2 linked regions of the Danio rerio genome follow. The protein of the gene in region 1 interacts with the protein of each later gene in a pairwise test. Links are inferred from orthologs where the notes say so. Each region holds a gene or a part of one and is shown on either strand. Other genes may lie near its edges.

Region 1 (5,901 bases):
AGGAGAACAGTGGCGCACCATCAAAGTGTGGACCAAACAGGCGGGGGAACAGGAAATGCTGAACTAACACCCTTTGAGGAGAGAATTGCCTCAATTGTGGGAAACACTTTACTGTCTGGAGTAGTTTCCATGTTTGTGGGAGACAAAGATGTATATTAGGGGAACACCTCAGCTCTTATCAGGCAACGTCACCGGCATTTCAGTTGCCCAATTGCCTGCTCTACAACTGAACGAGTGCCTGCCATCTTGTAGCCTCATCCCAATCATGCTGTTTGTGGGAATGAATTAATCATGGGTTGACCTAGGCCACCTTGCTACAATATTTGTTGAGCGCATTTGAGCATCACATATTATTTGCACATTTATTGAATGAAAAAGTTTCCGATTCACGAATGCAAATTCGTCTTCAGATGGCTCCTTTATAGCAATGTGCATGCAGTCGATCGCTCTGATTACATTGGAAAAAACGGCGATCACTGCAAATTGCGCTTTATTGTTTGGCTGGTCAACTGCATGGTATGGAAACCTGCTAGACATGTGGGTGATCCCGTCCTATATAGCTGGCATTGCACGGCTCAAAGATACTTTGTAGTGTGCGAATTAACATGATTGCCCCTAGGAGTCGCCAGTTAAAATAAAACAAACACACACAAGAAATACACATACGCCCAACATGAAGTGAGAGTGGACCAACGCACATTCTCACGTTAATTTCATTGTTAGTAAATCCAAACGTGAGTGTGAAATCTGGCGTACGGAAAGTTTTTGTGCGTACGCCGCGTTGATACATGAGGCCCCAGGTGTGAATGGTAAATTGTTTGGCGAAAACACAGCTTAATACCAGGTGTCAACAGGGCCTAAGATCCCTCTGGCAAATTAGTTATTGAATGTTATCGTGGGCGAAGCAGTGGCGCAGTAGGTAGTGTTGCCGCCTCATAGCAAGAAGGTCGCTGGGTCGCTGGTTCGAGCCTCGGCTCAGTTGCCGTTTCTGTGTGGAGTTTGCATGTTCTCCCTGCGTTCGCGTGGGTTTCCTCCGGGTGCTCTGGTTTCCCCCACAGTCCAAAAACATGCGGTACAGGCGAATTGGGTAGGCTAAATTGTCCGTAGTGTGTGTGTGAATGTGTGTGTGGATGTTTCCCAGGGATGGGTTGCGGCTGAAAGGGCATCCGCTGTGTAAAAACTTGCTGGATAAGTTGGCGGTTCATTCCGCTGTGGCGACCCAGATCAATAAAGGGACTAAACCTACAAGAAAATGAATGAATTTTATCGTGGATTAATTTTGACACATGAAACAATTTCATCAAACATTGTTTGATGCTGAAAATCAATTACCTTGTTGAAAAACAACTTGTGGTCCATAAATGCTTTTGTAAACACAATAAAATTTTCTGGAATGGAAATTGACAAAATAAATATTCATGTATGTCCCTGCTTCGGGCCCCACTACTTTATTACTGTATTTTGTTAATATTCTGTCAATGAATAAAAATTGTCAATATTATGCTAAAAAGATGCACACACAGCTAGAGTATAACTGACTGATGTAGCTGAAGAATCCTTCTGTAGCAGAAAACAGATAAAAGGAAGAAAACAGTGGAAGTGAAAGAATAGCTATAATAAGGTAATGTGTGAAGATTAATTAAAACTAAAATAGGTTAATTGCAATCTCATATTAGCTGGCAAGTTCATACCATAGCAAGAAACTTGTTTTCTTAAACATCCAAAGGTAGCTGTGCAGTCTTAATATATTCAAATACAAAAGATCTCTTAGCTGGTTTTAAGTTTTTTATTTGTCTTCTGAGTAAAAAAACTTTCCTGGAAATATCTTTCTGTGATAAACAAATCATAAATTTGATATCTATAATAAAAACAATTGTACTGTTACCATTTTAAAATTACTTAACACTAGCCGACCTATGGGGTTTTTATAATTTTATTCCAGTATCATTAGGCCTAAAAAATGTAAATTTATCGCTTAGCTGTATGTTGTTGTAGGAAAAAAAATCTAATGTTAAAATAACACTCTGTTTCAGGTTTTCTAGTTGTGCTTATATGCTCTGAAGGAGTAATGAGCAGAGGTGGGAGGTGTAGTCACATGACACTTGTCAGGCTGAAGTCACATGGTTTGTGTTTGCAGTCACTTCAGAACAGCACAAATTTCTACACACAGTTATGATGAAAGTGTTTCATGCTTCCTTAGTGAAATACTGAAAACTACATAGGACCATTTAATTCTGAACAGGCAGTGAAAATATGGAGATACCAGCCATAAATCTGAAGGTAATTTATTTTCAATCATTTGTGCATTACAGTGAGTACATTGATATTATTCATTATCAAATAATTATTTGATTGGTAAAGTATCCATTAAAAGTTTAAAGATAAAAAGTTTTGTCATTGTGGTGTCATTGTGGTTTTGTCATTTAAAAATGAGTCTACATTTTATGAAACCAAATGGGAGGCTTCAAAGATCACTTTCTTAAAGAATTTATCAGTAACTGCTATTGTTATAACTGCAAGCAAGCTTTTACATTAAGTTGATTGTTGTTATTGTGAGGGTGCAGCGAGGAAACAATAACATTCTGAATGGAAACACAAGGAAATCCTTGCTCTTTCTTTTGATTTAAAGCAGAATTTGTTCAAAGCATGCTGACCATAACACATTTTCTGTTTTATAAATACCCCACATTATAAGTGCAGCAACACACTGTCTCTAGAAAATAATATACTATATGTGTGCATTTACTCATGAACTGCACTATATGTGTTCTCTCTGCAGGCCATTTTGTTGGTTCACTGGATACTGACAGTTTGGTGAGAGTTATGGCACATTTTTGCTGTTTTTCATCACTAACCTGAGGAATTTCACCTTCGGTGAATGTTTATCTTCCAGTTTTCTATTCATCAGAAATATTTCTTCTTCAAATTGAAGCTTTCTAAATATCTGTTAAACACCTAAACATACAGTTGTTTTTCTTAAGTAGTAGTACATTGAAAAAGTGACTAAAGTGCACATATTTTCAAATATCCCCCATTTGCATATTTTAAATATAGTGGAAGCTTTACACTTTCAGTTAAAGGTCAAAGTATTTCATTAATACTGTGTGCATTTTTCGAGGAGGCAAATCAATCAAATTAATTCAGCTGTTCAAAAAATAGTTAATATTTAATATTTTCTTCTTTAAACTGAATTACTTCTAAATACATTTTTACATATCAGTTTAAATTACTGAAGAAATATTTAGTTCCATAGCCATTGTTTAAATGAGTACGCCCCTCACAGATCTCTCTTTGAAATTAATATAATCCGTAGGATGCTATACAGTTATATATTTGAGCATATACAGTAGATTGGATTAGCTAAAACTGAAACTAATCTAACAAAATTAAATAAAAATGACAGATAACAGTCCATAAATATGTACAGGCCAATTTATTATGTTGGGAAAAATATTGCACACAATTCTAATAAACAGGAAAAATTTAAAACATTAAAAAGAGAGAATTTAGTTAGAATTTGGGTTTTTTATTTTAATGTTTGAATTTAGTTGTATTAGCTTTCTATTACTAAAGAAATTAGGTGGCCAATCTCTTATTTTAATGGATATAGATTTTAGGGATTTATGGATATAAATATATTGGCTATATAGGGTATTTGCACACAGACTTTTAATTTTCAGCCAGGCAGCCCAAGGGCTTCCAGTAAAACTGTTTTTTCATTACAAAATTGTAACATTTAAGATCTGATTTCTTTAAAAATCAGCAATCTTCACTGCCTGTTAGATATAACAGAAGAAGAATTGCATTAAATTACATTTCCTCCCGCCATTTCTTTAAAATATGACAGTTTATTTTTACCCAGTATTTTCAATTAAGTGTCTGCGTAGCCTGTTGCTACTGACAGTCCTAGTGGTTACAACGGTCTTTCATCTTGTTTTACACCTAAACAACTAAATGAATGCTAAAGTCTGTGAATGTTATCGACTTTCGCTTTCAGATTTAAAGGGCTAGCATTGCACCAGACCCCCGTAAGTGGTGTGGTTTGAAAGTGTAGAATCTAGATTTTATCAACATATGCATCACTTTGGTTTTCATTCTACTGTATAAAAGTTATTTACACTTAAATTCACAGTATTTTGGATACCCCAGCTAGGTATTTTACATTGTTCATTTTCATATTTTTTTTTATATGACACATGTCACAAGTTATAGCTCAATTGAAATCTCTTGCCGGTGCTCATTCAGTTCTAGCATTCTTTTTACTGAATTATATTCATATTCCAAACAGTTGTTGAATGAATTGTGGTGTTTCCATGGCGCAGAAATGTAAACAATACATTTATGATCAATAAGCAGCCCCAGATAGCACAGACAGCTGTCATCTCTTACCTTATGCTGTGCCCTTCAGGGCCATTCTCCTCTGTTTTTGAGGTGATGTGCATAAGTAATCCTTTTATATGTCTGATGTGGTCCAAACTCAGTGAATTATATTTGATCAAACAAAAGAATAGTGAAATATGAAAACAATGATCGGTCCCTGTGGCTTGTACAGCACCTCTCATTAGTTGGAATGCAATAACTTTTGCATAGATTATGGTAGAGACTTTTTTCTTTTTTTAGACATGTGCAGGAACCACTAAAATTAATTACAGCACGCTAGACCACACAGAACCTAAAAGGTACACTTTCAAATTAGATTTAAAAAAAAAAAAACATAAAGCGCCTCTTTTTTTTAGGTGTTTATTATAACACAGACAACATATACAGTTATTTTAAACACTTTCAATAGTGTTTTATGAAAATTCAAAGGGTTTTCTTTAAAATTATACCAAATTTTTGCATTTACACCTCTTTATGTGGATTTGAAAAGCTTTTAAATTTGGGTAGGCAAAATCCAGGCGGAAATCCCCAAATAGCAGCAGAGTTTAAGTGGTTAACTGAATGTATTGTAATTACATTACAACATCAGTGCTGTAAAATCAACCTTGTAAAATTGAAAATAGCCACCTTGAACTTTCACCGGACGTTTATTGTCGGCTTAAACTCTCTAGCTGTGCATAGAGCCCATTGACTGGGAAATTGATAAAAATAATCATTATCAAAAGAGTCAGCCAACTTCAGGCACACAGAAACAGTTCGGTTTTGTTTTTATTTTAGCCATTATACAGTATATTAAACAAACTACATCCCGCAGTTCCTATAAATTTTGGGTTTTGTTTTAGAAACTGCATTCTTAATGTCACCTCAATTGGTCTGAGGTCAGGTAATTTTGCATAGTTGTGCATTTCTGGAACTTTAATCTTGACAACAGGAAAATGTATAAATAAGTTTGTTTGTTTTAAACAGAAGCCATTTATTGGTGTACTTTTTAAACACAATATTTTTTTACAAAAAAATAAACCAAATTGAGTTAAAGGAGAGTGCTATGTTAGTACAATGTTTTTTTTAACAGTTTGAATATGTGCTTACACAGGGCATGCTTACTTTCCTGGCTCCCAGCTTCTTATGTGTTGGGGAACTTCAGTGTTCTTGCAGTGGGAGTGTGGGCCATAGCACAGAGAGACTCCATAGATGCTGTTTTATTGGTAGGTGGGTTTTTTCATGCATGAAGGCTTTTTAGGCAATTGATTTGTTCTTTATTAACGACCGATGAAAAATCCATAACTAGACTTTTGACTATTCACTCACCGGCCACTTTATTAGGTACACCTTTCCAACTTCATGTTAGCACAAATTTCTAATCAGCCAATCACATGGCAGCAACTCAATGCATTTAGGCATGTAGACATGGTCAAGACGATTTCCTGCAGTTCAAACTGAGCATCAGAATGGGGAAGAAAGATGATTTAAGTGACTTTGAATGTGGCATAGTTGTTGGTGCCAGACGGGCTGGTCTGAGTA
Region 2 (5,162 bases), on another chromosome or scaffold:
AATTGGGGAACATTTTTCCATTGTTTTCTTCAGAACAGTGTCAAATCCAGCACAATATGAACTACATTGGTGCAACTGACTTCTGAATGGGCAAATACATGTCATATATACCCTGGCACGGTATTTTAAAATGTTACTTTATGCTCAAAATCATCAATCTTTTAGCTATTGATTTTGTTGAATCAGCACATGACACCGATGTTGGCAAGCATATGCCACTAGCCAGTTCCTTCTGACTGAATACTACCATAAAAAAACGATCAGGGTGGAAATTAGTTCTAATGAACCAGGCCTGATGGCTAGTTTAATGGCGGAGTTTATGTAACTACAAAATGTGAAAGTGCCTATTGCTCCTTCACTGGATTTTTCTCAGTCATTTTCTGTCTCTTTCTCTCTACAGATGTGATTGTCAGGGTGGTCAAGAAAACTTTTGCTGGAATTGCTGGCCTGTTCCGTTCGAGAGTCCATAGAAAAGCTGAACATGAAAAGCAGAATGCCTTCACGCAGGTACAATCATCATAAAATCCTCACTCGAATGCCATCTTTGCACACCCTTGGTTTTATTCACTGTTCACATGGTCTTGTTTCTTGTTTTGCTTGCTCAGGTTGGCAGGGTTACATTTATGGGTATTGATGACATATACAGCAACAGCCTGAGTTCATGGATTGAAAGTGACGGCATGGGTAAATGTGAACTCATTTTACTTTTTTTTTTTTTTTTTTTGTGAGTGTGTAAGTGTGAGTGATCTGGCTAAGAATTTGACAGACACAAACTACTGTTCAAAAGTTCAGGATCAGTCCTATTTTCATTTCTTTCAGTGAGTCATACAGAAAGCCTTTGCATCTTCCATAGTAATACTAAGCAGTATTGCTGTTTTTTTTTATATATATATATATATAAAGATTTAAAATAAGAAATGTTCAGATCAGCATATTAGAAAGGCCTCTTGGGGATCATTTAAAAGTTCAGCTTTGCCTTTACAGGAGTTCCAGTTTAAATAGAAAGTAATTTTAAGTTGCAAATTATGGAAGCATACGAGTAGCATAATTCAATTAAAAATGTAATATGCAAAATGGCAATGCAATATGTTAAATGGCAATGTATTTCTGTATTTGAATTTGCATTTTCCAAGACATATGAGCAATGTTTGGTGCAGAATGAAAATGTAAATTAAATTACATTGTTTGCATTTCTCATTTCAAACACTGTTTTAATATGTAAATTGTATCCACATTTTAAAGCTTTATAAGTAGCAAAATTAAATTGAAAATGCTATACACAAACTTAATTTGATGTGAATAAAGTACAAGCAGAAACTGTAGCAAAATGATAATTTAAATGTTATTTGTCCTAAATGCATTTACGCTCGCGTCTAGGAAACGCAGGATTACATTTTCAGCATAACAGCATGGGATGTGTGTAGCAAAATTAATTTTGAAATGTAATACGCAAAACGATAATGCAGTATGTAAAAGGCAGTGTATTTCTGCATTTCAATTAGCATTTTCCAAGACATATGTGCAATGTTTGCTGCAGAATGAAAATGAAAATGAAAAAAAACATAATGCATTTTCATTTAACACATCGCGACGAATGAAAGCCAATTTGAAATTGAAAATGCATTCTGGCCTGGCCACGCCCACAGACGGCCACCGTTGCTGCAAGGCGGGTTTTAGGTTATGTCGTCACAGCTGCCGCGAGGACTATTAGGGACATTTGGCAGCATAAACATGGCGAAGTCTGTTCCTCAGCAGCTTCGTGAAGCTGCACGAGCCCTCGAGCTTGAACTGGGAAATAGTTTAGAAAACCAATCACCTCCTAGCTCAGTAAACTTGGCTTAAGGTTTGATATTCGCGCACGCAGTTTTAGGGATCATCTGCAAATTACATCGACAGAACCTAAAGGGGCTTTAGCTGATGTGTACTGTATGCTTATGACAAGAGCTATTGCCTATTTCTGCATTGTATGTACCATATAGTTAGAGGTATAGTAGCTTTGCTACCTGTATTAAATCAGTCTGGCCTCTAACCATTTATTGGAATCTCCTCAATTTTTTTCTGCTTTGCGTTACTGTGCGTTTTGGTTCTGTTGATGTAAATCGCAGATGATCCCTAAAACTGCGTGCGCAAATATCAAACCTAAGGCCAACTTTACGGAGCTAGGAGGTGATTGCTTTTCTAAAGTATTTCACAGTTCACGCTCGAGGGCTCGTGCAGCTTCACGAAGCCGCTGAGGAACAGACTTCGCCATGTTTATGCTGCCAAATGTCCTTAATAGTCCTCGCGGCAGCTGTGACGACATAACCTAAAACCCGCCTTGCAGCAACGGTGGCCGTCTTTGGGCGTGGCCAGGCCAGAATGCATTTTCAATTTCAAATTGGCTTTCATTCGTCGCGATGTGTTAAATGAAAATGCATTATGTTTTTTTATTTTTCATTTTCATTCTGCAGCAAACATTGCACATATGTCTTGGAAAATGCTAACTGAAATACAGAAATACACTGCCTTTTACATATTGCATTATCGTTTTGCATTTTACATTTCAAAATTAATTTTGCTACACACATCCCATGCTGTTATGCTGAAAATGTAATCCTGCGTTTCCTAGACGCGAGCGTAAATGTATTTAGGACAAATAACATTTAAATTATCATTTTGCTACAGTTTCTGCTTGTACTTTATTCACATCCAATTAAGTTTGTGTATAGCATTTTCAATTTAATTTTGCTACTTATAAAGCTTTAAAATGTGGATACAATTGACATATTAAAACAGTGTTTGAAATGAGAAATGCAAACAATGTAATTTAATTTACATTTTCATTCTGCACCAAACATTGCTCATATGTCTTGGAAAATGCAAATTCAAATACAGAAATACATTGCCATTTAACATATTGCATTGCCATTTTGCATATTACATTTTGAATTGAATTATGCTACTCATATGCTTCCATAGCAAATGGTGTGCTTTCGACGTTTCCTTTAAAGTCTAAAAAATGATTTTTAATGGATCTCTCTACAGATAAACAAATGGAAATGGGACTTAAAAATAAAGAAAGAACAGCAGCCAATATGCAAACCAATCCACAGGCTTTACGCAAACCTGAGTGAGTATTATTTGGTCCAAATTTTAAGGTGTTTCACAAATTTAAGCGGTTTCTTTGTCCTCTCAATATGTATTTTTATAATAATGCATTCTTTTATTCACCATATTGCTGATTACATGATAAAAAGGAACCTTTCAAAAAGGTCACAATTTCCCACCCCCCAAAATCCTCACAGGTATTTGCACTAGGTTTAAAAGCACAAGTGGGCAATGCTATATATGTAAATGTGGTTAAAAGAAGCTAGGCAGACAGGGTTTTTTTTTGTTTGAAATAAGTTTATTTGATGGAAAAAAATGTCAGAAAACGCAGTTTTTTTTAACTGTCCTGACATAAACCCAGAGCATTTGATGGAGTTCAGAACTGAAATGAAAGCTCTTGATCTCTATTATTTTTCCATTGCCTTCTTTCATGTTCATATGGAAATTGCACAAGCTTACTTTGCAGCATTAGATCAGTAAAAAATGCATCCAGTCCATTCTGTCAAAAGACTATCTTCTCAAAGACAGAGTAAAGTGGATGTATAAGACTTAAACAATAGGTGTAAATTGGATTTTTTTTACCCTTGTCTCCACATCTTAATGCCAAGTTTAAACATGAGCAATATTCCCATGTTCTTTGTTGTACAGAAATATAGTTATTTGTTTTTTTGTTTTTTTTTTATGCAACAAATTTAAGATTACTTTTCACAAATTACTAACTGTATCATCTTTGCTTGATTAACTAGGCTGTGTTTACACAACAGGGATGTGGCCAAATTTGAAAAGGTTCACGTTTAGACAATACATTTTCAAAATGTTGTGAAAATTGTGAAAATAGCCGAAATAGGTGCATTATGTATGTCAGATGATGTAAATGTAGAATTTTCTGTGAGTGTAAGATACGTCTCGGGTGTTATTTGTAATGTGAAATAAATCCAACATTTGCTGATAAAGAATTAGCAAACAATTAAGCAACAACAACACTAATATGTACTCCGCCATTGTGTTTATTTGCGCTTGCCTTCACATCTGCACGCACATGATGCCATCATTCTCCAAAACTCTTGTTTATTTAGACACACTATCAGCGATTCTTTTCAAAAACTTCCACTTTGAAAACTGCTGTCAGATTATGCAGTTGCAAAAACAGTTGTTGTGTAAATAAACAGGCAGAAAACCGTTTCTAATGTGGCAAACTTTGTGCAACACACAAGAAGATATTTAGAACAGTTGCAATTTCCATTGACTTTCATTCATTTATATATATTTTTAAACTAAAACTGATTGCTTGCCATAATTGTTTTTAAACATTTAATGACATAACATCTTTCAATTGTGAGCAGTCCATCCTATTAAAATGATGATGAATCTTACCCATCATATGCAAACAGTAGTATCAAAATAAGACTTGAGAATAGGTGCTTATGCTTTGCGATCGAGAATGATGTTTGACTCTAAAATGGTCTTCTAGATATTCTGTAAGTCTCTGCATGTTTCTCCTTGTACAGTGGAACAATGCTGTACAAAACAAATCAGGACAGAAGCAGAGAGATGCGCAGATCCTTGAAGCTTGTGCCGTCATGCACCACCAATGGGCTAAATTCAAGACAGGCTGAGATGGAGCTCCCAAGCCGCACACCCAAACCTTGCCTGACCGTGGAGGAGGTTAGCAAACTGAGTTGTAATGTTGTAACTTAGTACCTTTTTTTAAATACATGGCTTCCTGAGCATCTTTCTTTTGATTAGGCATTGAGAGAGAGTGATCGAGAGCATTATAGGAAGCTAGTGGAGATGGCATCTGAAAAATATTCAAAGAGCAAACCATTGCCGTTTGGACGGATAAAGCCTTCCATGTAAGCACATAAATTATATATGTTTTTAAATCACCACAGCTTAGCTGGTGCAAGTTAACACTGTTTTCAATCAAATCTTTTAGCACCGCTTTCCCCATTGATGGACACAAGGTCAGTGGACACACCTCCATCTGTCGCACTACTGACTTGAACAGACCTGCGCCAGTAAGAGGTGAGAGTTTATTTAAATTAATCTTCACTGTTATTAGAACTTCACATTTT

The links. The genes of interacting proteins can lie anywhere in the genome.
Region 2: the proteins of agtrap (region 1) and senp2 interact in binary tests that used the Homo sapiens proteins (3 or more experiments, as listed by UniProt). The two-hybrid records come from large-scale screens. The link is inferred for Danio rerio from reciprocal best matches to the Homo sapiens genes AGTRAP and SENP2.

What each region holds. Positions count from the first base shown.
Region 1 is NC_133186.1:18,167,139-18,173,039, forward strand, and holds the start of agtrap (type-1 angiotensin II receptor-associated protein), read left to right. Parts: upstream 1-2,120; 5' UTR 2,121-2,253; coding exon 2,254-2,280; intron 2,281-2,779; coding exon 2,780-2,814; intron 2,815-5,473; coding exon 5,474-5,585; intron 5,586-5,901. UniProt on the Homo sapiens protein: Appears to be a negative regulator of type-1 angiotensin II receptor-mediated signaling by regulating receptor internalization as well as mechanism of receptor desensitization such as phosphorylation.
Region 2 is NC_133181.1:12,362,352-12,367,513, forward strand, and holds part of senp2 (sentrin-specific protease 2), read left to right. Parts: intron 1-400; coding exon 401-507; intron 508-605; coding exon 606-684; intron 685-3,024; coding exon 3,025-3,109; intron 3,110-4,595; coding exon 4,596-4,752; intron 4,753-4,833; coding exon 4,834-4,940; intron 4,941-5,023; coding exon 5,024-5,112; intron 5,113-5,162. UniProt on the Homo sapiens protein: Protease that catalyzes two essential functions in the SUMO pathway.